Linked DNA regions of Elephas maximus indicus. The protein of the gene in region 2 purifies or fractionates together with the protein of the main gene of each other region. This does not show direct contact. Links are inferred from orthologs where the notes say so. Each region holds a gene or a part of one and is shown on either strand. Other genes may lie near its edges. The genes, in order: AEBP2 and EED.

The links.
Region 1: the proteins of EED (region 2) and AEBP2 purify together in Homo sapiens (affinity purification with mass spectrometry; 6 studies listed by BioGRID and IntAct, counting the BioPlex papers as one, with this or other methods). This does not show direct contact. The link is inferred for Elephas maximus indicus from reciprocal best matches to the Homo sapiens genes EED and AEBP2.

What each region holds. Positions count from the first base shown.
Region 1 is NC_064822.1:78,272,731-78,284,960, reverse strand, and holds the start of AEBP2 (zinc finger protein AEBP2), read right to left. Parts: upstream 5,688-12,230; 5' UTR 5,495-5,687; coding exon 4,845-5,494; intron 1-4,844. UniProt on the Homo sapiens protein: Acts as an accessory subunit for the core Polycomb repressive complex 2 (PRC2), which mediates histone H3K27 (H3K27me3) trimethylation on chromatin leading to transcriptional repression of the affected target gene.
Region 2 is NC_064825.1:35,346,317-35,358,882, forward strand, and holds the start of EED (polycomb protein EED), read right to left. Parts: upstream 5,542-12,566; 5' UTR 5,169-5,541; coding exon 5,055-5,168; intron 1-5,054. UniProt on the Homo sapiens protein: Polycomb group (PcG) protein. Component of the PRC2/EED-EZH2 complex, which methylates 'Lys-9' and 'Lys-27' of histone H3, leading to transcriptional repression of the affected target gene.

The DNA.
Region 1 (12,230 bases), on a different chromosome or scaffold from region 2:
CGTAGAATTGAAAGTCTAATAGCAATACGCGAGATAGATTGAGAAGCATTTTGTATTTCTATCTCCCACCACCCTCCAAACGGTCTTGTACATAGTAAATAACCTGGTTTGGTAGCAAACGGGTCTATAAACAGGATTTCCTAACTGATCCAACAAAGTAGTCTTAATGTTTCTTAAAAGTAAAATGGACCCCTAAAATCTCTCTATATAAATTCAATTCTGAAATCTCTATATATATTTTATTGTTGCATTGTTTTGTTTTGAAGAAAGCCATAATCTTACTCAACTGAGAGTTACAACGTGTTATCGGAAACCCTGATGGCGTAGTGGTTAAATGCTACAGCTGCTACCCAAGAGGTTGGCAGTTTAAATCCGCCAGGCGCTCCTTGGAAACTCTATGGGGCAGTTCTACTCTGTCCTAGAGGGTCGCTATGAGTCGGAATCGACCCCACGGCAGTGGTGTTTACAATGTGTTATCAATCAAAACTGAGACCTATAAGAAGCTCTTTTCTCTAAATTTAATCAAAATGAAACAGAGTTACCTAACAAAGGGATTCTGGAGAGGCTATGGACAGCTGCTTCAGAGCACCTAGTAGAGTTCTGTTATGAAGTACATGCAAAAATTACTTTACATAAAAGTATTTTATTATCTCAACCATAAAGATCCTCAATAAATCTCAACAATAATCTCAATACGCAGCTTTCCAGTAATGACTTGATTTCAAAGTTTAGCCTCTATACTAGAAAAAGAACTTCCTAATCATGCTACTGGGAAGCAATAAAAGCCAGCTTTTCTAGTTTCAAAGCAATCTTAGTTATATCTCCAAGTTCCCAACCCAAAGGGCTGGGAATCCAAACCTTGACATGCACAAAAAGGTAAGACCCTTGTGGCCTTTGATGACCATTAACTTACTATAAGCCTATCACCACTTCCTCACATATATACTTTTCACTTGACGTCTGGATTTATCCCAAAAGGCTGTTAAAGTGGCTGAAAGTCATCTTAGCTTTTATAAAATAAGTTATGGCTTATATTCCAGTTGGAAGAAAAAAAACATAACATAAAATGTTGTTGTTGTTGTTAGTTTCCATCAGGTCAAGTCTGACTGACAGCGACCCCATGTGTGCAGAGAACTGCTCCAAATGATTTTCAAGACTATGACTTTCTGGAGGAAACCCTGGTGGCGTAGTGGTTAAGTGCTAACGCTGCTAACCAAGAGGTCAGCAGTTCGAATCCACCAGATGCTCCTTGGAAACTCTATGGGGCAGTTCTACTCTATTCTATAGGGTCGCTATGAGTCAGAATCGACTCAACGGTAGTGGGTTTGTTTTGGGTTTTGGGACCTTCTGGAAGCAGATCATGAGGCCTGTCTTTTGAGGTACGTCTGAGTTTGAACAGTCAACCTTTCACTTGGTAGTCAACTGCTTAAACTAACCAATTGCGCCACCCAGGGACTCCTTATATAAAAGACAAATAACCACAAAAAGAGAGCCTATTATTATCAACTCCCCTATACATAAAAAAGCTGAAGGTTCTTTTGTGCATAATCTGATTTAATAGCTAGAACTAACTTGTAAACTAAAAAATGTTACAGGCATTTTAAATTCTAAAACTTTAAATGCCAACTCAGCCTCTAAAATCACCTAAAGGAAAACCGTAGTAGCTTTTTTAATCGTAAGCTTAAGTTCAAAGTCAAAAAAAAAAAAAATTAGTTTTAATTGTCTAACATTATTCTCCCCAGAAAAAATTCTATTACCTTTGTAATCAAAGTAAAATTACATATCAATTTTACGATTTTCTAGATTTACTGACCAAAACCAACCCAGTGCCATCGAGTGGATTCCAACTCATAGCGACCCTACAGGACAGAGTAGAACTGCCCCACAGAGTTTCCAAGGAGCACCCGGTGAATTCAAACTGCTGACCTCTTGGTTAGCAGCCGTAGCACTTAACCACTACGCCACCAGGGTTTCCAAATTTACTGAAGTAAACACATTTACAGACTTAAGACAATTTTAAATAACTTTCTCCTGGGGAAAATAACTTTTTTTGTACAAAGTGTGATTTAACAGTTTGATAAATTACTCACTTTTCACCACACAACACTTCCAAAACAAGCTTGTAAAAGACACAAAAATGAAAATACCACTTTAGGTCATAATCTCTAAGTCTTTGTACTTAATTCTTCTTTTAAAGGAGATAATTAAAATTAAAGATATTTAAGAGATCTCAACAAATTCTAAAGCATTTCAGATACGCTCAAAACTATAATCTAATTTTGATATGACAAACTGAACAGGCACTCTAACAGAAACGCAGAGTAAATTCTGACACTGTAACAGTAATACCTAAATATTTTTAAAAGCACTTTAAAATCACAATATCTTTCCACCAGTTATAAAAGACTTTCTACCATCAAACCAATTTATAAAATCTCCACAGATTGGGTAACCTTCAGTACAATTTGTAGAAATTATGGATCCTTTCCAAATTTAAACTGAAAAAAAATTTTTTTCTTTAAATCCTCAAAGACAACAAGGGGACATTTCAGAATTAAGATTATTAAGACCACAAACCAGTTTCATTAGTAATGTAAGGGTTTTCATGCAAGTGATAAATCTATTAACCTACAACGGTATGTAAAAATTATTACAATATTTCACAGTTTCTAATGTTTGAGCATTCTTTAAGAAAGGCAACTATGCTTGGTTATGTAAGTTTTAACCTTACATGGATTTGTGACACCAAATTTCACTCCTACTCTAATAAGGTATGATGTAAAAATTATTCAAATGAATCTAATGAATATCAAATGAAGTCAAAACTCCATTCTGTGAAACATTACTTGACTAACAATTCCTGGTCTCCGGAAAGGATGCAGTTGACAGATATTAACACACACAACACACATATAAAAAAAAGAAACAACCCTGACATATACAACGTGTTACTTAAAGTGAATTATTCTAACTCTTGTAAAGTGGAAATAGCTGGTGACTTGGGAACCTTAAAGGAGCCCTGATGGTGCCGTGGTTAAGCACTCAGTTGCTCAATGAAAGGCAGCGGTTGGAACCCACCAGCTGCTCCACAGGAGAAAGATGTGGCAGTCTGCTTTAATAAAGACTGCAGCCTTAGAAACCCTATAGGGTAGTTCTACCTTGTCCTACACGATGATATGAGTTGGAGTCAACTCCACCGCAATGGGTTTTTGGTTTTGGGAACTTTCGTTCAGATCCAGCTCCACCGCTTTCAAACTATACTGTTTTGACATGGAACTCAACTTGCTTCTTCAGAGTTAAATGAAGTCAAAACAGTATTTAAACTGCACCATACTGAGGATGAAACGACTGAGACACTGGAACTGCGCAGTATCAGGCAAATGTGCTTGTGTCTGTAAGTATACTCACAACAAACTATGGTAGATGCCAACTACATAAACTACCATGAACTTTCAAGTACCCGATGATATCAATGACAGAGGAAATAACAAATGATAAATAGAATGTGCTTCACTGAACAGTTCACATCAATTTTTAATTTTCTTGAGAATACGTTCCTTCCTGCCCATGCCTATAGTTAAGTACAATATATCTAAGGTTTGCACAGTCTATTTACCCCATCCACAACGTTTTCTTCACAAGACGATAAAGTAGATGTCAAACAGAACCAAATGCTAGATTTTCAAAATATCCAAGCCCTTCTAGTCTTTGTTACATTAAAGACAAACTGATGTTCATTTTTATCAGTCAGCCATCACAATTCCTGTGGAACTTTAGGATACTTAAACTTTTAAACCACAATCGATCCTGACGGTTAGAAATTCTAGCAGATGCTCAAAATAAATTCTAACGTATTTAATCGGTACAATATGGGTGAAGTGTTTCTCTTTTTAAAAAATATATTAAAATACGAAGTTTTCCAAAGGGATCAAAAGTAATGATTGCAACAACTGAAGCATATACTACAACAATTTTCTAAAACGTTCTGAAAATACTGGGCACATTTTTAATTACTCTCCACATTATTTCCAATAAGCTTTAAAAAGTGGTAATAATCCCTTCATAGGCCTCTCCAATACATGACTTTAAATATTATCATCTAACATCACAATTCTCACTTTTAAGCATTACTGTAAAGAGTTTAAAACGGATACTAGTATGTGGTGCCTTCAAGACTATTTTCTTACGAGTCTTTGATTTAGCAAAGTTATTTTAAAAAACAATTCGTTATTCTTTCCTACAGTGATTTGGTCACAAAATAGATTATTAAAAATCACGCTGGGTACCACATTAATGACTACTAAAAGGGAATCTGGAAAGCATTCATTAAATTTAAAAGAATAGTCTTGTTTTAAGTAGAAAAAATGATAGTTGGGGTCTCCTTGCTGGACAAGGAAGTTATGTTAGATTCAAGCGAGACCAGCCATGTTGGAAAACACTTGTCAATAATAGTTCTGACAAGTGTTCACGAACACGCTCGGATGAAGCTAACCTTGTGTATCGTGGTATACATCAAGGTCTCCTGCTTCACCTGGAGGTCTGGGCCTGCTTTGGAGACTGTTTGGGAGTTAGACCCGTCCTTAGATCCGTAAAGAGTGGAAAGCTGAGGGGAAAGAGGGCGGGGAAAGGAGAGTTGGGGGGCGAAGGGAAACGGTTTGAGAGTTGGAAGCCGCTATCCGCTGCAAGAGGGGCGCGGCGGCGGGGAGCGATTTCCGAGTTGAGAACCTAAAGGAGGGGCCAAGGGTTCGGGGAGTAGGAGATCCCATCAAAAAGTCCCCCTGGTCCCCTCTGAGGGGGCCGGGAGCGCAAGAGGAGGGCAAGGGGAAACGCTTCAGCGCACTGACCTGTCCTCCGAGTCCATGCGGCTCAGGGGCTCCCCATCCGACGACATCTCCAAGCTGCCTCGCCGGCCTCCGGAGGTCGCGCTGCTTCCGCCTCCCCCGGTCCCGTAGCCCTCGTCTCCGCCGCTAGAGACGACGCTACTGCTGCTGCTGCCGCCCCCGCCACCGCCCTGGCTGCCCCGCGGTCCCTTGGGCTCCTCCAGGCCCTCCTTGCCGTCCCCATCGCCGCTGCTGCTGCTGGCAGCGCCGGGGCTCAGCGAGCGCGTCTCGTCGCTGCTGCTCCCGCCGCTGCTGCCCACCAGGCTCTCGGCGCTACTCTCCTCCTCGCCACCGCCGCTGCTGCTGCTCTCGTCCTCCTCCTCGTCTTCGTCCTCGTCCTCATCTTCCCCGGCCTGGCTGGCACTCTCGGGGCTAGGCTCCGACATCGTCTCCGCCTCGCCGCCCCCCACTCCGCCGCCGCCGCCCCCACCAACGCCGCCGTTCAGCAGCAGCGCCGCCACAGCCTCGGCCTCCGCCTCCTCTTCTTCCTCTTCCTCCTCTTCCTCAGGGGGCTCAGCCCGACCCCGTACCGCCGGGCCAGGGCTGCCGGGGGGCAGAGGGCTCAGGCGGGAGAGCTCCTCCAGGTCGGCCATATCAGTGATAGCGGAGGCCATGGCGGCGCCTACTCCTCCACCTCCTCGCCGCCGCCGCCGCCGCAGCCGCCGCCTCCTCTCTCGACTCTCGCTCCTTCGCCCCCTCCCAAACGCCCAAAACTCAGCCGACGCCGCTGCAGAGCAGGAGGAGGGCCCGCAAGCTGCGTCAGCCTGCACACGCGCTACGGAGCCCGCGCGGGGACAGGCGCGCGACTGCGCGCACTCACGCGGAGACAGCTGCGCGCCTGCGCGGCGGCACGTGGTGGCGCCTCCCCTGACCGCCGATCCCGCGCTCGTGTCCGCGCCTCTGCGCCCGCCCGTACCTCGTTGAGTTCTCGGAGTTTCCTCGGGAGCTTCCCACGTTTTCCACGGCCGCGCTTCCTCGGGACCTTCCCACGTTTTCCACGGCCGCGCAGTGGGCGGGACGCGAGGGAGCGAAAACCCGAGCGCAGGTCGGAGATTTTAGCAACACACAAAGTTCTCTCGATAAAGTAATTCACTTCGGAGCTTTTTGGCCCAGCGCCCGTACACAGCGGGCAATTTCCAGGCATAGAACAAGTCCGTGGCCGTCAGAGTTTACAATCTACGAGGAGAGGCGATTAAAATGAACGAAAATAGGTAACACCATAAAAAAACATGCAAGGTACTAAATCCATGTACACAACATAGAGCCACAAGTTTTTATTAGCCTGTGTCTGAATCAAAGCTTTGAACCGGTTTTTCTAACAAGTTGCCGAGGGATGCTAATGCGGCTGATAAGAGACCAATTCTGAAAACCACTAGTAGAGCCCAAACCAACACTTATTGCCCTTGAATCCATTACGACTCAAAGCAATCCTACAGGACAGAGTAAAACTGCCTCGTAGAGTTTCCAAGGAGAGGCTTATGGATTCGAACTGCCCACTTTTGGGTTAGCAGCCTGAGCTCTTAATCACTGTACCACCAGGCCTCCATTAGTAAAGCCCACTCACTGCCATTGGGTTGATCCTGACTCATAGCGACAGTATAGGAAAGAGTAGAACTGCCCAATGGGATTTCCAAGGAGCACCTGGTAGATTCCAACCACTGACCTTTTGGTTAGCAGTCATAGCTCTTAACCACTATGCCACCAGGGTTTCAAAGTAGTAGAGCAGTGGTTCTAAAATTTTATTATACATAAGGATCACCTGGGACTCTTATTAAAATATAGATTCTAATTCAGTATATCTGGGGTGGAAATGCAAATTCTCAGCAAGGGTTCAAGCAGCTCCCAGTTTGAAGCCCTGGTATCTTCGAATGATCCTTACCCATGTCTATCACGTTGTGTTTTCCCCTTTTATAAGACACCACTCAGAAGGGATTAGGACCCACTGTACTCCATTAAGGCGCCCTGGTGGCACAGTAGTCAAGCACTCAGCTGCTAACCTAAAGGTGGCCTCAGCACACCAGCTGCCACCTTCTCCTCAGGTGAAAGATAAGGCAGTCAGCTTCTGCCCTATTATAGGGTCACTTTTTTTTTTATGAGTCAGAAGTCACTATGAGTTGGAACAGCAGTCAAGAAATCAAAGGATCATTGGGCAAATCTGCTGCAGAAGACGTCTTTAAAGTGTTGAAAAGCACTGATGTCACCTTGAGGACTAAGGTGCACCTGACCCAAGCCATGGTGCTTTCAATCACCTCATATGCATGTGAAAGCTGGACAGTGAATAAGGAAGACCAAAGAACAATTGACAATTGATGCCATCGAATTGTGGTGTTGGAGAGGAATATTGAATATACCATGGACTGCTAAAAGAATGAATCTGTCTTTGAAGAAGTACAACCAGAATGCTCCTTAGAAGCAAGGGTGGTGAGACTATGTCTCACATACTTTGGACATGTTATCAGGAGGGATCAGTCCCTGGAAAAAGACATCATGTTTGGTAAAGTAGAAGGTCAGTGAGAAATGAAGACCCTCAACAAAGTGGATTGACACAGTGGCTGCAACAACAGGCTCGAGCATAACAAGGATCATGAGGATGGCTCAGGACTGGGCAGTGTTTCGTTCTGTTGTGCATAGGGTCACTATGAGTCGGAACCAACTGCACGGCACCTAACAACAACAACATGAGTTAGAATCGACTTGAAGGCAGTGGATTTGGTTTTGGGTAAGCACACTTGAAACTGTGTATACAAATTGACATTTAAGAGGTTTTTTTTTTTTTTTTAATTTCCTATGACCATAAAACTTTTAAGTGTTATTATTTAACGATCAAGCAAATATATTTCATTTTTTATAAGTAAGTATTAAACATAAAAGTAAAATTTTATTGGAAATACATCTTACAGAAATGGACTTGGATGGATTTTTTCAACTAGTTTATTTTGTCAGTGGATGAGTATTAACGAGAACAAGAAGGAGTTCAGCATGAATTCTGTTCTTTCAATTCTGTGCGTGTAAGTGTTGAAAAGACATAAGCGTTGAGAAAACTTGTTCACATAAATAAGTACATGCCAATGAATGGAGTTTTGTATAGCAATGTCACTCAGCTCTTTGCACTCCTTCCAAATTACGTGCCAAAAAAGTCAACAATGACACTTTTAACGATCTGTCAGCTGATAACTCTGACTAGACACTCCTTCAAATTTGTGGAAAGCAAGTAACTGAAAACCACCTGACTTGTAAAAGGATACTACCCATTCTCATTCACCAGTATTCCCAATTGTCCCCTTCTTTGGTGTCCCTGGAGGTTTTTGTCATCCCAGAGGTTTTTGCACCTTTCTAAAATTCTGGATGAGATGGAGTTATGTCTTTCATTTGTAAAATAGGAGGGGGGCAATTGGAATAAGGAAGTGGAAAAGGAGATCACATTATACCTTGACCAACTTCAAGGCACGTTTTCAGGCAGATCACTTTCAGGGGTCAGAGAACTGATAGCCTTAAAAAAAAATCTCTGCTTATTATACACATCTTGGAAGTTTTGTGTCCAGTATTATGTCCACTGCCTTAGGCCTTTGGACGGCTGTTGCATGGAATGTTGCCTCATGGGAAAGCAAAAATAATAAATAATTGTTTGTGGCATTATAGTTTACAAGTACCTTCTTCACACACACTAAAACCCAATTAAAAAGCCCAATGCTGTCAGGTCACACACACACTACAACATGTTAAACTCAGAGCCACAATATAGAGCATGTTAGGTAGATGGATAAGGAAGGAGTGTTATCGTCCTGTGCTGTAAATGAAGAACTATCACAGTTTAACTTGGTTCCTCAAAAGTGTTTGAGTGTATGTGCCAGGCAGTGTGTTAAGCACGGGGGAGTAGGCTCACTTTTGGCCAGGTTAATCGTGGAAAGCTTCATGAAAAATGTAGGATTTGAACAGATGTGTAGAGTTAAGATAAACGCTAACTACGTGTAAGTTTAATTTGAGCTGGATCTTGAGTGATTAGAAATACGTGTGAGGGGAAATTCTACGATTAAGAAGCAATAACATGGAAAAGTATAAAAATTTATTCAAGACAGTGTTTATTAGCCACAGGAAAGCAAAGCTAGAAAGCTAAAAAGAGTTAAAGACCAGATTGCAGAAGGTCTTGAATAAAAAGTTTTGATGTTGAAAGACAATGGGTATATACTGAGGTATTTTAATAAAGGTGTAATATGATTAGGGTTATGTTGTAATGCTACCTAATGCGTAGGGGAGAAAAAGTGAATGGAGATTAAAAACTCGCTGCTGTGGAGTCAATTCTGACTCATCACAACCTGGTAGGACAGAGGAGAGCTGCCCCATCCGGTTTGAAAGGCTGTAAATCTTTACAGAAGCAGGCTACCACATCTCTTTTGCTCAGTGCGGCTGGTTGGTTCAAACAGCTGACCTTTCAGTTAGCAGCTGAGCTCTTTAACCACTGCGCCACTGGAGCTCCGTGAATAGAGATTAGACACCTGGAAATAATAGTTATCGAAGCTAAAATGAATGCTCCAGCTGCAGTATTTACACCTGAAGACTAAAATCAGCTATCTCGGAATTGGCTTTATGGAGAAAAAGTGAATTTCCCATCACTTAGGATTTTTTTTTTAATTACCAATTTTCTGAAAAATTGCAAGAATTACATAATAAATACCTGTACACCTACCTAGATTCATAGATTACTAACATTTTACCACATTTGCATTCTCTGTGTCTCAAGTTCAGTTGCAGACAGCATTGATTTTTCGTGCATCTCCTAGGAACAAGGCCACTCTCCTACGTAACTGCAGTGTCTTTGCTTTCAAAATTTAATGCTGAAGTCTTTAACTACAGGAAGGACTTCCTATTGATAGAGACTCTCTAGGCAACATTAGGTGAGATGATGGATGATAGTGTACCACGCGTGGTCCACAGAGCAGTGTCTGTCCACGAACCGGCAGTTTGTCACTGGTCTGAAACGAGATGAGTACCGAAATTAATGTTTAGAAATGTTTATACCTACTTGACAGAGTAAATTGTCAAGGATTTCATTTTACTTGGATCCACAATCAACGCCCACGGAAGCAGCAGTCAAAAATCAAAGGATGTATTTCATTGGGCAAATCTGCTGCAAAAGACCTCTTTAACGTGTTAAAAAGCAAAACTATCACCTTAAGGACAAAGGTGCACCTGACCCAAGCCATGGTATTTTCATTTGCCTCATGTGCATGTGAAAGCTGGACAATAAATAAGTAAAAAACCAAACCAAACCTGTTGCCATCTAGTCAATTCCAACTCATAGCAACCCTATAAGACAAAGAAAAATTGATGCCTATGAATTATGGTGTTGGCAAAAAATATTGAACATACCATGGATTGCTAGAATGAACAAATCTGTCTTGGAAGAAGTACAGCCAGAATACTCCTTAGAGAAAATGCTGAGACTTCGTCTCAGGTACTTTGGACATGTTATCAGGAGTGACCAGTCCCTGGAGAAGGACATCATGCTTGGTTAAAGTAGAGGGTTAGCGAAAAAAAGGAAGACTCTCAACAAGGTGGATTGACACTGTGGCTGCAACGACAGGTTAAACAGCAGTGATTGTTGAGGATGGCACAGGACCAGGCAGTGTTTTGTTCTGTTGTACATGGTGGGGTCACTGTGAGCCAGAACCAACTCAACAGCACCTAACAATAACAACAAATCCAAAAATAAAAAATCAGAGCTTGTATTTTTAATATCTTTTTTAATTAATTTCATAATTCTGGTAATTCATTTTTACTGTATTTTATAAGTGTATCTGTCAGTTGGAAATTTACCAAAGAAAACTGGCCCTTCACACATTAAGAATCACTTTTCTACAGTTCCATCCTTCCAGCTTGGAGAGTGTGTGATTCTCTATGTAATTATCAATTGCCCAGTAACACCCATTGCATAAAAGTTGTTTGATTAGGAATATTATCCAAATCCATCAGTCACAGTACTTACTAATAGGATCAAATTAGCAACAATAACTCAAATTTCAGTGGCTCTTCTACCTAGCAAACCTACTAATATAGTCATGACACCTCCAACTTCCAGCAAAATGCATCGGAAAATATCTCTGAGAGCTCCTGCAGCAGGGCTTTCTCTCACATGCTCACTAACTCCTCTCCCAACCCGCTCCCTCCGCACCACCCCTGCTGAACCACTGTTCTAGGCATTGCAGGCTCCTACCAGGAACTGTGATACAAACAGCCAAAGCCACAGTGTAGTGTGAGGACATGGAGACCTTTGTGTTGATCTCTGTTAGGGGAACCCCAAAGCAGACTGCTTATGCCCAATATTTTACACAGTTTTCAGTGAAATAGCTCTTTATGGTCTTACTCAGAGCTTTGTCTCTCTCAGGGACCCAGACGTGCTCTCATGGGCCTAGATTGGCGACAGATCTGAGTAAGCTACCCCAGGCTGTATTTATTACTCCCCATCCAATGACTAAGTCTTTCTGATAAGAGTTCTCTGTCTAATTCTCTTTTCCACTAAAATGAGTTTTATTCTAGGAAGCAGCCTCAGCTCCCATGTAAGCAAGTTTCTTTCTGTACTTTCTCACCAGTTTACTAGACAAGCCCAGACATGCTTGAACCCCGGCAATAGACCCACTTTAGATTCAATCTGAGATTCCTCCTATACTATATGTGAGATGCTTCTGGAAAATTCTCTAAAATAATGCAGCTATTTCAGGTTTTGTGCCTTTAGGTTCCTCATTGTGTTATTACCATAGTGAGAAGTGTCAATAGCATAACCTCATTCTCTGACTGACTTGTAGTTTAAAGGAAGTATGTATGAAAAGAGGTAACATCTCACAGGATGATGAAATGATAGAACCTTAGAACTGGAAAGAACTAGAAATCGGATGCCAGCCTTCCAATCTGTAGGTTGTAATCCAACCAAAACAAAACCACATAATGATTTCTTTTTGAGTTAAAATCTGTCAGTGTAACCATTTTGAAATACAAGTGTTTTAGCTGATGCCCTTCCACAATAAGGAAATCATATACATGTGTATTACTTTGAATTTCATAAAATGCTTCTATAAACTATAGGTGAAGGGGTAGGCAAAATGTGAAAAGTGAATACATAAAGGCCTCTTTTTTTGGTCCTTTTATGTGTTTTATATCTGATTTGCTAGCCGAATAACTTTATTAGATGTTCAAAACCCAGTTATTAAAATTGGATCTGACAGATTAGTTATTGTAGCATAGCAGTCACAGTACCAGCTAATACTTTTATCCATCAAATCCCAGGAAAGGCAGGAAATAAGATAAATATTTAATGAGTGGCATACAAAGTCTCTGAGCAGTTTGGATAAATTAACT
Region 2 (12,566 bases):
ACTGTTTGCACCATTAACATCTTCATTTTTCAGATAAGAAACCTGAGACGGAGATTAAGTACTCTTTGTATCATTATCATTCCCATTTTTTGAATAAGAAACTGAGGCAGAGGTTAAGTACCTTGCTCAAGGTCAAACAATCAATGAAGAGGATTTTTAACCCAGCATTTAGATCCAGTGTCTGTGCTCTTAACCACTAGTCTAATCTGTCTAGAGAAGTTTAAGAAAATCCAGGAAGTGTAACAGGCTCCAAGGGCTAGAATGAAGAGGGTCAAAAATGTTAGACCCCAATATATATGGGAAGCACAAACAGGAAAAAAAAAGATTTTAAGTAACATTCAACACCCAAACTTTTCCAAGAAACTTCAAGTCTAAGATCCTACAAGCTGACAATCCTAAAATATCTTTCTTCAACCTACAAAAAGAATCCTTTCCCACCTCTTCCGTGAAAATCTTGGTAATGACACCATGCTGTATATATGATTCAGGGGAGGCAGAGCCAACATGGTGCTATAGACAGAAGCAGCATGCCACGCCTCTGCAGCAAAGACCTGAAAAATGAAAAACTAAGTAAAACAGATACAAACATCAATCCTGGAACCCTAAGCATCAAATGAAGGAATAAAGAGCTCAAGCAAGCACCCAGTGGAGTAAGAAACTGACAGAGAACAAAGAACAAGGAGGGCTACGAATAGAGGTCCCCTTTCAGCTAACATAGTACGGATTTGCCATCTTGGACTACAGCCACCAAGGAACACAGACAAGGAGTATAGAAAGGCAACTTCGTGGAGAAAGAGCACCCAGTAACCAGGGATACATGCTTTCCCACCCCCCCACCCTTTTTCCCTGTACAAGGCCTCCATCGCTTTCCAATGGGCCACAGTGACTTGGCCGGTGACACACCAGCTCACTGCCACCTGGGTCCACCCCACCCCCATCAGCCAGCCCCCTCAGCGCCATTTTTTTGTTTTTAAGCTTTTTTTGTTGCCTTTCTCTCTCTCTCTCTCCTTTCCTTTCTCCCACCCAGCTAGCCTAGTGTGCCATCCCCTCCCCTTTTTCAGAGAACATGGTGCAGTGCCATGACCAACCAGCTCCTTCAGTGCCATTTTATATATTGTTTGTTTTTCTTTTTAGTTGTTTTTTCTTTCTCCCATCCACCAAGCCCCATGCACCACACCTCCCTTCTTGGTGGGCTGTGCTGTACCACTCGGCTGGAAAGCCTCTGACACACGGCCTCCCCAGGTCTGTGCCGCATTCACAGGCTGGCTCCTTCAGCACCATATTCTTTATTTTTCTTTATCTTTCCCCTTCTTCCTTTTCCTTCTCACTCCCACCTAGGCCCTGTGCTGCCTCTGCCCCTTCCTGACATGTCCAGAGTGAAACATCAGTTTGCCACCACCCCAATTCCACCTCGCCCCCAACAGCTGGCTCCCTTCCTACCATATTTTTGTTGTTGTTGTTGTTGCTTTTATTTATTTTTTATTTTCTTAACTTTACTTCTTTGTTTGTTGGTTTCTTCTCCCCCCCCCCCCCCTTTTTTTCCCTTTCTACCACCCACCTAGCCCCGTGCACCACCCATGCCCCTTTTCAACAGGTCAAGCTGCACCACTTGGCTAGAGAGCCACCAGCACATGGCCTAGCTGGGTCAGCTCCACCCCTACTCACCAAATCCTACCAGTCATTTTACTTTTTTCCTTCATTTTTTTGCTTTTGTTTCTCTCTCTCCTCTCTTCTCTCACTCACCCACTTAGCTCTATGCATCACATCCTCTCCCTCCCCTCCTGCCTACCTGCACTGCGCCCCTCCTGCCTACCTGCACTGCGCCCCTGAGCAGCACCAACATGATCCGCCCCAACCTCACCCAGCACTGCTCCCAGCCCTGCCTTGTAGTCCCCAGTTTGTGTTGCAAACTACCCATCCCCACCCCTCCACTTCCGCTGGACCTACCCTGATGCACCATAGCTGAGTGACCGGACCTGCTCACCTGGATTGGGTGGAAAGAAGTATCATGCCGACAGGTGAGCAAGTAACAAAACACTCCCAGCCTGCCTGCCCAGATGTAACCAAATAGAACAAAAAAGGGGGATGAAACAAACAAATCTACAATCAGTAAACTAAGAAAATAATTCCTGAATGTACAGGCCACAGCAGACAATATCAAAACACATTAAAAAACATAACTGGATGGCTCCAGAAAGCAACCAAAATAAAACACCAATGACCTTCTGGTAGAAGAAAAGGAACTGAAACTACCTGATAGGGAATTCAAAACTCTAAAATTCAGGGTTCTCCAAGAGATGAAGAAAATGCAGACAAAAATAAGGAAAAAATAGACAAAATCATGGAAAATATAGAGAAAAATCAGGGAAAACAAAGACAAAGCAATGGAAGAATTAAGAAAAATAAAGGAACAAAACATCAAAATAAACAGCTAGAAATCATTAAAAAAAAAAAAACAGCAATTAGAAATTCAAATGACAATAAGATTCCAGAAATGGACAATGCAATAGGTTTTAGGAGCAAATCTGAAACAACAGGAGATATGATCAGTGAAATCGAAGACAAATCTATGGACACCACTTTGAAGAAATATCAAAGAATGGAGAAAAATGAAGAAACCCTGAGAACGATGTGGGATACAATCAAAAGCAAAACTTTGCATGTGATGGGAGTTCCAGAACAGTGGGAGAAAATGGAAAACACAGAGAGGATCACTGCAGACTTGCTGACAGAAAACTTCCCTAAAGACGAAAAGCTGACCATACAAGAAGTTCAACAAACCTCATATTGGATAGACCCCAAGAGAAAATCACCAAGACATATCATAACCACGCTTGCTAAAACCAAAGACAAAGAACCCTAAGAGCAGTTCCAGAAAAACTAAGTTACATACAAAAGGGGAAGCAATAAGACTATACTCTGATTACTGGGCAGAAACTATGCAGTCAAGAAGGCAATGGAATGACATACATAAAACCTTGAAAGACAAACTGCCAACCAAGAATATATCCTGCAAAACTCTTGCTCAAATATGATGGCAAAATTAGGACATTTCCAGATAAACAGAAATTAAGGGAATATGTAAAAACCAAGCCAAGCTTACAAGAATTATTAAAGAAAGTCCTTCAGTTAGAGAACCAAAAATATCAGACATCAACCTGAATCTAGGACACAAGACAGTATCAGTCAGACACTACCCTAGGTAATGAACTCCCAAGGATAAAACAAAACTAAAAGATTTACAACACGGAGCCAGAGAGATCTGTAAATGACAATGACAGAACAATAAAAAAAGGGAATAAACAATACAGGTATAGAACTTCCAAATAGAGAGGACGTCAAGGCAATACCAAGTAATAAAAGACCGGTTTAAACTTAGGAAGATAGGGATAAATTTCAAAGAAAGTTAACAAACCTACTCATCAAAATAAAGAAAAAGAAAGTCTCCATATATATGCGTCAGTGTTTATGATATAGAATTTAGGAACTGAAGGTGTAAGATATAACAATTCCTAAAAAACTAGCCAAACTCAGAAAATGAAGAACTTACACCACCCAAGCATAACCCTTTAAAAATTCTTAACGCACTGAGAAATTATTATACTATGATAAGGAAGGGTTCATATTTTGCAGTAATAGCCTTGAATGAACAATCTTTTAGACATTTTAAGGAGCCCTGGTGGAACAGTGGTTAAGCACCTGGTTGCTAACCAAATAAATGGTCAGTGGTTCGAATCCACCAGCTGCTCTGGGGGAGAAAGAAGTGGCAGCAGCCATTGGAAACTCTATGGTGCAGTTCAACTCTGTCCTATAGGATTGCTATGAGTCGGACATTTTGCTGACCTTACTGGATATAACTTAGAACAAGAACCTGGTTTATATACCAGTATCTGTGTACCTGGTGAAGAATCAATTACTCCAAAATATCTATTGAACTTATTTTGCCACTTTTATAAAACCCAAGCGATTTGAAAGCACACTGTAGGATTGAAGGAGAAAAGGTCCATCCTTTCTCTAGTGAAAAAGGCTGGTACACAAACCAAAACAATATTAGGCTTTCCATGGGATCCTAAATAAATCTGAAACTTCCTTCTCTTGTTACCACCTGGAAGTTCCAAGTATATTTCACTAATCATCATTCACTTACTCTTACCTATACATTCATTTTTCAAAAAAAGAATTTTAGCTGGATTACTTGCAGAGTGAATTTCATTCTTCAATCCACATCTATTAATGTCAGTTCGGTTTTTACAGGCGAGTCATCTAAACACAGCTTTGTAAACTGTTGGGACTACATGATTACCAAGATCCATCTCAGAACTTAAACAAAAAAAGTCTGATTCCAAAGCCAATTTGCATTCACCACTCAGTTGCCTAAATTCTCTTAGGTCGTCCCGCTTATCTGAAATAACAACTTTCAAAGGAGAAACCATCCCTTCTCATTTCTTCCTCAAAGTCATTCCCCCTACACGTCAGAAGGTGACTCTCAATCTGCTTTTCCATCTCCATGAGCAGGACAGGAGCAGACACAAAATCCCCTTAAAAGTTACCCAAACCCAATAAGTCGAAGATTTATGCTTTCCATCCTGAAAATTCACAAGGGTCTATGAGTGACACCGTCCCCCAAGTCCTTAAGAGGCCCTAACAGACTATCCCCCTCTTTCCAACTCTCTTAAAAAATCTCTAACACGCCTTTTAAACTACTGGAATCTCAGATCCGCACTCTCCCAAAATCACCCGAAGGCCTAAACACTCTCCCTCCCGTCAATCATACACCAAGAGGATCTCAGAGCAGACCACCTCAGACCCTCTGCTCATCAAACAACCATTTAAATCACCCTCCTTCCCCACGTTTCTGTTTGCCCTCGGCCCCAGCTCAACATCCCCATAGAGACAAGTTCAATTTTCTCCTCCACGCCCGCGTTTTCCTGAGTAGAGGGTGACACCTCTCCCTCCACCCTACGGTTGCCCGCCCGCCCCAGCGCCTACAGTTTAAAAAGAATTTAAAACTTTCACTCCAGAGTACCGACCGGACTGCTCCGGGCTGCACTTACATTCTCGTCTCCAGAGAGGTCTGGGTTGCTGTTCTCGTCGCTGCTCAGCTTCTGCTTCTTGGCCGCAGGCATGTCTGTTCCCGCCGGTGCTGTCGACACTTCCCTCTCGGACATATTCCTCCGCCTCCCTCCAGGTTCCTGCCGCCTCGGGCGGGGCCTGCGCCACACCGCCGTCAAGCAAGCCCGGCCAGAGCTTGCCGTAAAGCTGCCACTGCCGCCGCCACCGCCACCGCTCCCCCCACTGTCGCAAACCGCGCCCAGCCGCCGAGGCGGGCGTGCGTGCGACCCCGCCACACTGCTGAAAAAGGGGCGCGCTCGCGCGCCCTCCCGCGCGGCTTTCTGGCTCCTTCCCTTTCGCTACTATCCTCTTGCCCTTTTCCCGCAGTCCTCTGGCAATTTGCACGGAGAGGTGTGATCCGTTGGCTTTCGAGGGCAGTATTTCGTACGTCCCCTTTACCACTCCCGCCTCGAAAAGGAGAGATGGAACTCAGAGGGATTCTCCCTCACTCTCTTTCTCCTTCCAAAGCCGTTTCAGCCGCAATTGGCCCAAACCTTCGATCCTCGACCCGCTGCAGGGGCTCGAAAGTATGTGGAATGGACTAGACCACCAATGTCCCAAAGGACGGGGGAAAACACGAGAAGTCACCTCTTGCTTCAGCGGCGTGTGCGAAGCATATCCTTAGTCATCAACTCGGAGGATAATTCTCTTATGGTTTTCCACGAAATCTTTCACAACTTAGTTTTCTTTTGGGAATAGATGTTCCAAAATTGTAGACAGCTTTCCATTCGCCTCCCCCGTCTAGAAATGGAAGTTACTAGCTAGGAGACGCGCATGCGCCGGAGCGTATTCTCGCGCTGGTCCATCCGGACCCGCCTCCTCTACACCCCTCCTCTTTTCGAAATCTTGTTTGTTGAACCAGGTAGAGTTCTAGTCGGTTTCCGTAGTCCAGGATGGATTCCAAAGCGCTACCAAGTCTTAGTCTCAGGATGCATTTTAAATTCTTGGTGGATATTTATTCTGATGAGTATTTATTGCGATGAATGCTTATTCTCACCCACTTGGTGCCAATATTGGTTAAGGCTTAAGTAGGAATATTCTGTAATCATAATATGATTCTAGACCTTCAAGAATTATAGCCGAAGCCCTCTTTTTAATTGCTGAAGGATCATTAAGGCCCAGACAACGCCAAGGCCCATAAATCAGTGGTCGCTTCCAACAATGGATGAGACTAAAACGACGGACAATTTTTTTTGGGGGGGGGGCACATCAGGTATAATAAAATTTTTGAGACAGCACTAAAACTTGTACTTCACCAAAATGCTTCTCTTATGAGTATTACCATATCTGGGCTCTTGACCGGTGCCAAATATATTGGTGAACTTTGCGGATTTGGTACATGGGTCATTAAGCCGCGTAACTGAATGAGCAGCAGGAAAAGAAGGATGACAGGAGATAAAATCTAGCCCCTCCCACCTTTTTTTAGAACATGGTTGTGACAAGTTATCTTTCTGTGACTCAGTGTCCTCATCTTTAAAAATAAAGGATACAAATTTTTTGAGCACGGACTTGATTTTATGTACATTTTCTCATTTTTTACTTTGTTACATCACCCAAAAGATTGCCAGTCTAGACTGCCCCTTCCATAACATTCTAGTATACGTGAATTACTTCTGCATGATGCTTTCACAGAGAGAAAATCAATTTCATTATCTGCAGGTTGCAAGTCACTGTTTTGGAGATAAGAAGAGAACTCCTGGTTGAGAATGAGAAAAGTGTGGTAAAGGCAAAATAAGAGGTTTTTGCAATGAAAACTCAGGAAAATAAGGAAGCTAAAAAAAAAATTAAGTTGAGATTTTAATAATAATAAGTGCAGTTATTGTTTGAATCCTAATGTGCCAGGTACTGCTAAGCACTCCTTAGTTGGTGAGAAGAGAGATGAGAGTGGTATGGAGTCAGCTACTGAGAAAGTAAGATGTGCAGAGACAAACATACTCCCCTTACCTGTTGGGAAGAATGTGAAATATATGTCTACAACTAAAGGATAATCAACTAAAGTATTTCAAATCCACATTACTCTGTGTCTGGGATCAATGAAAACTGGAACCTGGGAGTCAACTTCTAGTCATAAAATCAGAAAAGTGTTGAACTTCTGAATAATGGACACCTATGGGAGGAAAATGCCTTTCAGCATGAACATTATCTGTAACAAAGCAAAAATATTTTAAGTGTCTTATTAAAACTTGGAGGAATTTTTTAAAAATGTTCTGGTGAGTCAAGCATGATAAATGGAAATTACTTCATTAATATTCATTATTACTAGTTTAGGATATGTAAAATATCAAAGGTATTCTATTTAGAGTGCTACCCTGATGGTATTAAGTTAATATAATACGTTAAAGTAAGTTTCTCAACACTGAATTCTCTTACTGTGGAGGATCTCAGGAACCACCACAGTTGAAGAGGTCTTACCACCTGCATTTTACAAATGAGGAAACGGAAGCCCAGGGTGATTAAACACTTTACCTGAAAACACCTGGCTCTGCAAGTGGCAGGGCTGGGGAGCATATTCAAGGCTGGTTGACTCCAAAGCCTCAAAATGAAGGACCCAAGCAACTCTAGATTTATGTAATCCCATGCTGCAGTGGGATGCACAGAGCTTGATCTTTAGGCCAATGTCTTACACACTATTCAAAGAACATAAAAAAGGCTATCTCTCTTGGAACAGAAGGATGACATGACAGGAAAATCCAAATAAATTCTGGAGTTTAGTTAATAATAACGTACTATTTAAGTTTCTTAATTTTGACAAATGTACCAATGTAAAGGAGCCCTGCTGGTGCAGTAGTTAAAGCGATCAACTGCTAACTGAAAGGTTGGCAGTTCAAAACCACCAGCGGCTCCACGGGAGAAAGATGTGGCAGTCTGCTTCTGTAGAAGTTTACAAAGGGTTGCTGTGAGTGGGAATTGACTCCACAGCTGTGGGTTTGGTTTTGTAACATGTTAACAGCGGGGGTAACAGGTTAACAATAAGGCAAACTGGATAAAGAGTATACACAAATGCTATTCTATCTTTGTAACTTTGTAATTATCCCAAAATAAAAATTTATTTAAAAAAAAAAAAAAAGCTATCTCATGTTAGACTGTTGAACTGTTGAGAACTCTCATCAGAAATACCCCTTAGCTTTCAAGAAAGTGGTTGATCTATCTTGAAAAACTTTCAAAGATCATTTAGTTACATAAAAAAAGAGAACTCGCAACCTCCCTTAGTATTGTCTTCCAATATCTTGTAAGTTTCATATCAGGAAATGAGTTTCAAGAGCTAAATTAAATCTTTTCTATTTCAGTTGAAGTCTATTTCTCATTCATTCAACATTTTTTGTATCTTCTGCTTCATAAATAACAGCTGTTCATCACTCCTGCAATGTGTAATAATATGCTTACAGATCTATTTTTCTGTGAACATAAGATCATATGGCTTCTTTGAACATTTCAAAATCAATAAGGAGAAATTTACTGAATACTGTCTATATGCAAAGCAGTATCCATGGGGATGGAAGGTGGGGAGTAAAAGGGAAAGTAAGACAAAGTCCCTTTAAAAAGCCCTCTGTTCTTTGCCTACTGAGTACTACCTATGATTAATAATTCAGTTTTCTGGTTTCCTTAATAACAGCAAGGAAGTAACACTAACGGGTGGACATTCATATTCTAGTCACCTGAGAGGTGACAGCATAAGTTTAATACTTTGGCTTATGGCATATCAATAAGTGTCTTGTTAGCTGGGGAGGGACCAGATCATGAAAAGCCTTATGCCATTGATAAGCAGTGCATGACCGAAGAAGAGTTTTCACTTTGGCAGTGGTCAGGGTGTAAGAATGGAGGTAGAGAGATGAGTTCAGAAGCCATTGCAAAACTGCAGAACTGAACTAAGGCAGTGGCGATGAGGATGGACAACAAGGGGTTGTTTCCAGAGATATTTAAGAATTTCAACCAACAGGACTCAGTAACTCAAGCAACATGTGGGGTGGTGGGAGGTGGGCATAGAATGACTCAGGTTGATAGTTTGGCTGATTTCCTGAGTGATGTGATCTCTAAACAAGACAGAAGTTGAAGGAAAGAAGATGGGATTTTTAACTTTTGGTATTGAGCAGAAAGACATGATGTAATTTCACTTCTCCCCAAACTCAAGTACAGTCTTAGGAGGCAAGTGCAAAAGTCAATTGTCCATCATTAATTTAAGGGAGAAGTTAGCTTTTAAAAAACGAAAGTAATTCCAGTGTTTTGTGTTTAAAAGAGGTTTGTTTATTGTGCGCATTAAGCAAGATAATACATGTGCAAGAGCTTAAAACATGGATTACTGTGTGAAAAATTGTTGAATGATAAATGTATTTTGCTTTCTGGACAAAATAAAGGGTTGCTCTTGATTTAAAATCAGCAGCCTTGATTTTAAGAATAATAAGATCTTATCCACAATTTTTTCCTTACATAGTTTTTAAAAAGTATGAAGAAAAACATATGCTGACTATAAGTGACTTTCTTCTGAGACTTTCAGCACTCTTTTCAAACGTAAATCAAAACCAACAACGTTCCCACTCAAACACTAAGACAAAAAGTATCTAGAAAATTGAACCAAGAGGTAAATTTCATTGAACACTCACTATATGCCAGGCATGTTGTATGATTTATCTCATTTAATCTTCAAAACATCTCTGTTTTACAGATGAGGAAGTTGAGACAGAGAAATTAAATTACTAGTTCAAAGTCACAGAGGCAGTAAGTGATGGAACTACTAAATGTAATGCACACTGCCTAACTCTGGAACCGGAGTTCTTAATTCCTGCACTATATGGTTTTCCACTGAGCTGCCAACGTGTTTATCTCTGGGTTGGTGTACTTGTGTATTTCCTTTCGTTCTTTTTATTTTTCTGTATTTTTGGTAATAAGCATGTAATGCTTTTAGATTAAGAAAATATGTCATTTTGATTTAAAAAACAGATAAATATTTTAAATAGCCCAATTCTCATTCATTTCCTGAAAAGAATATTTCTGTATTTAATTTTGATTTTAAGTGTTAAGTATATTGTTGTTGAGGGCAAAGTCTTGTCTGGTGCATGGTACATTAAAAAAAAAAAAAATGCTTTCAAGTCAATCCCGACTCATAGCAAACCTACAGGACAGAGTAGAACTGCCCCATAGGGTTTCCAAGGAGCACCTGGTGGATTGCATGGTACATATTATGCACTTAATTCTCTGAAAAATAGACTACAATTATTGTCAAGTTAATTAACTGTCATTATCTAAGAATCTGGAATATTATAGATAAATGCTTGTTTATGAAATAAAACTGTAGGTGTCAAAGCCAGAGGAACAGGAGTTTTGGTTGTTTTTTTTTTTTCTTTTAAACATTTGTAATCTTTAAATTGTCTGAAAGATTGCTAATCAGCCAAAAGAAATTCATTACGATCCCTAAGTTAAAGCCAGTGCCCAAACAGTTCTGAGATCTGATGTTTAACTTAGAACTGTGAGGCTAGCCCTTTAGAATTGCAAAACTGCATTTTCAATTTCTTTGTTAACATTTGGCTTTCCTTTTTCCTGGGGAACATACTGGTTTGTTCTTGCATTATGTCTCAGGAGTATTAGCTTCTCAGGTTGGATTGTGCTGTTTTTGTTGGAATAAAACAACACCAGGGCAGTTTTTGTGTTGAAAGGATAATTACATAGATTAAATTACACAGATTCTGAAAAACAACATGAGGCACTTAAAAAAAAAAAAAAAAACCGCTAAAACAGTTTGTCTTTGGACCACTGACCTTGATACTAACCCACCAACAGTACATACTACAAAGGCAAGAAAGGAATATATTTTATGCAAAACTTACTTGGGTTGAAGCTATGTGTATATTTTAAAATGTGTAATGGAGAACCTTAAACAGGGTTATATACAAGAAAGTTTCAAGTAAAGATGTGGTAAAAGTAAAAATAAACGTGCTCTAAAAAAGAACGTAGGGTCCCAAAGCCCACTCTTCAGACAAAGGTTAGACTGGACTAAAAAAAAAACTATAAGACATGAAATAATACTCGTGAAGAGTGTGCTTTGTAGTTTAAGCAGATGCATGAGAACAAATGGGCAGCTCCTGTCTGGAGGCAAGTTGAGAAGCCAGGAAGGGACGGGAGCTGGTTGAATGGACACGGGGAAACCCAGTGTGAAAGGGGGAGTGTCCTGTCACATTATAGGGATTGCAACTAGTGTCATATAACAATGTGTATAGATTTTTGTATGAGAATTTGAGCTGTAAACTTTCACTTAAAGCACACACACCCACAAAAGAACCTAGGGAACTAAATTAGGATTTTGAATTTACTCCAACTCGGGCTCTTGCTTTATTTCATTTCTTTGAAAGAGCAACAGTGACTTCTGGTGCTTAAAACAAAGACTTGATAGAGCTAGTTCAAGCATTCAGAAGGCGCAGAGTCTCAAAGAACTGTAAAAGGAGATTTTGATAAGCTAAGTGTAAGTGAATCAGAAACCTGGATTACACTTCTTGAAGGGCACATGAGTTTAAAAGTGCAGAGGAAAACATGCACGGGAAAATGCTCGGGGCGGGGGGTTCTAAAACTCAAATATTCAAAAGCTCATTTAAGATTTGAGGCATGCAGTTAAATGAGATCATGTCTATCCATATCCAGAGTCAAGAAAATTGTACTGATTTGATTTCTCCTTCACAGTTTTTCTAAATCCTATGCTCAGGAATAAGGATGCCTGCTTGACCAATGGAGCTCTGGTGGCTTAGTGGTTAACAGCTCAGCTGCTAACCAACAGATCAACAGTTCAAATCTCCCAGCTGCTCTTTGGAAACCCTATGGGGCTGTTCTACTCTGCCCTACCCAGTACCAGTGCCGTCGATGCCCTATAGGGTTGCTATGAGTCGGAATTGACTCAACAGCAACAGATTTGGTTTTAGTTTCCACTTGGCTGACATTGTCTGCTTGTTAAATTTGACGTTTAGAACACTAAAGCAATTCCAGTTTAAATGGATAAATAGAATTCACTAACAAGTTTGGAGCTGGAAGGGCAATAGGAGACCACCTAATGGTATTTCTCAACGGGAATGCATTTGGGGTACAAAAATTTTTGGATGTAGGGAATTTTCCTGAGCATTGCAGGATAGGATATTACACATACCTGGCCCCAACCTATGAATGCTAATAGCTTCTCCAATCATTGTGACAACCATCTCACAGGCTGCCAAATACTCCCTAGAGTAAGGGGTAACATTCTTCATTAAGACTAGCTCTCACCTCTTTTAGAGAAGGAAACAGATTTAATGAGGTTAGTTTTACTGTTTCTTACGTATAGACTAAGGAGCACTGGTGGCACAGTGGTTAAAGCACTCAACTGCTAACTGAAATGTCGGTGGTTCAAAACCACCAGCGGCTCTGTGGGAGAGAGGTGTCCCAGTGTGCTTCCATAAAGATTTACAGCCTTGGAAACCCTATGGTGGCTAAGAGTCAGA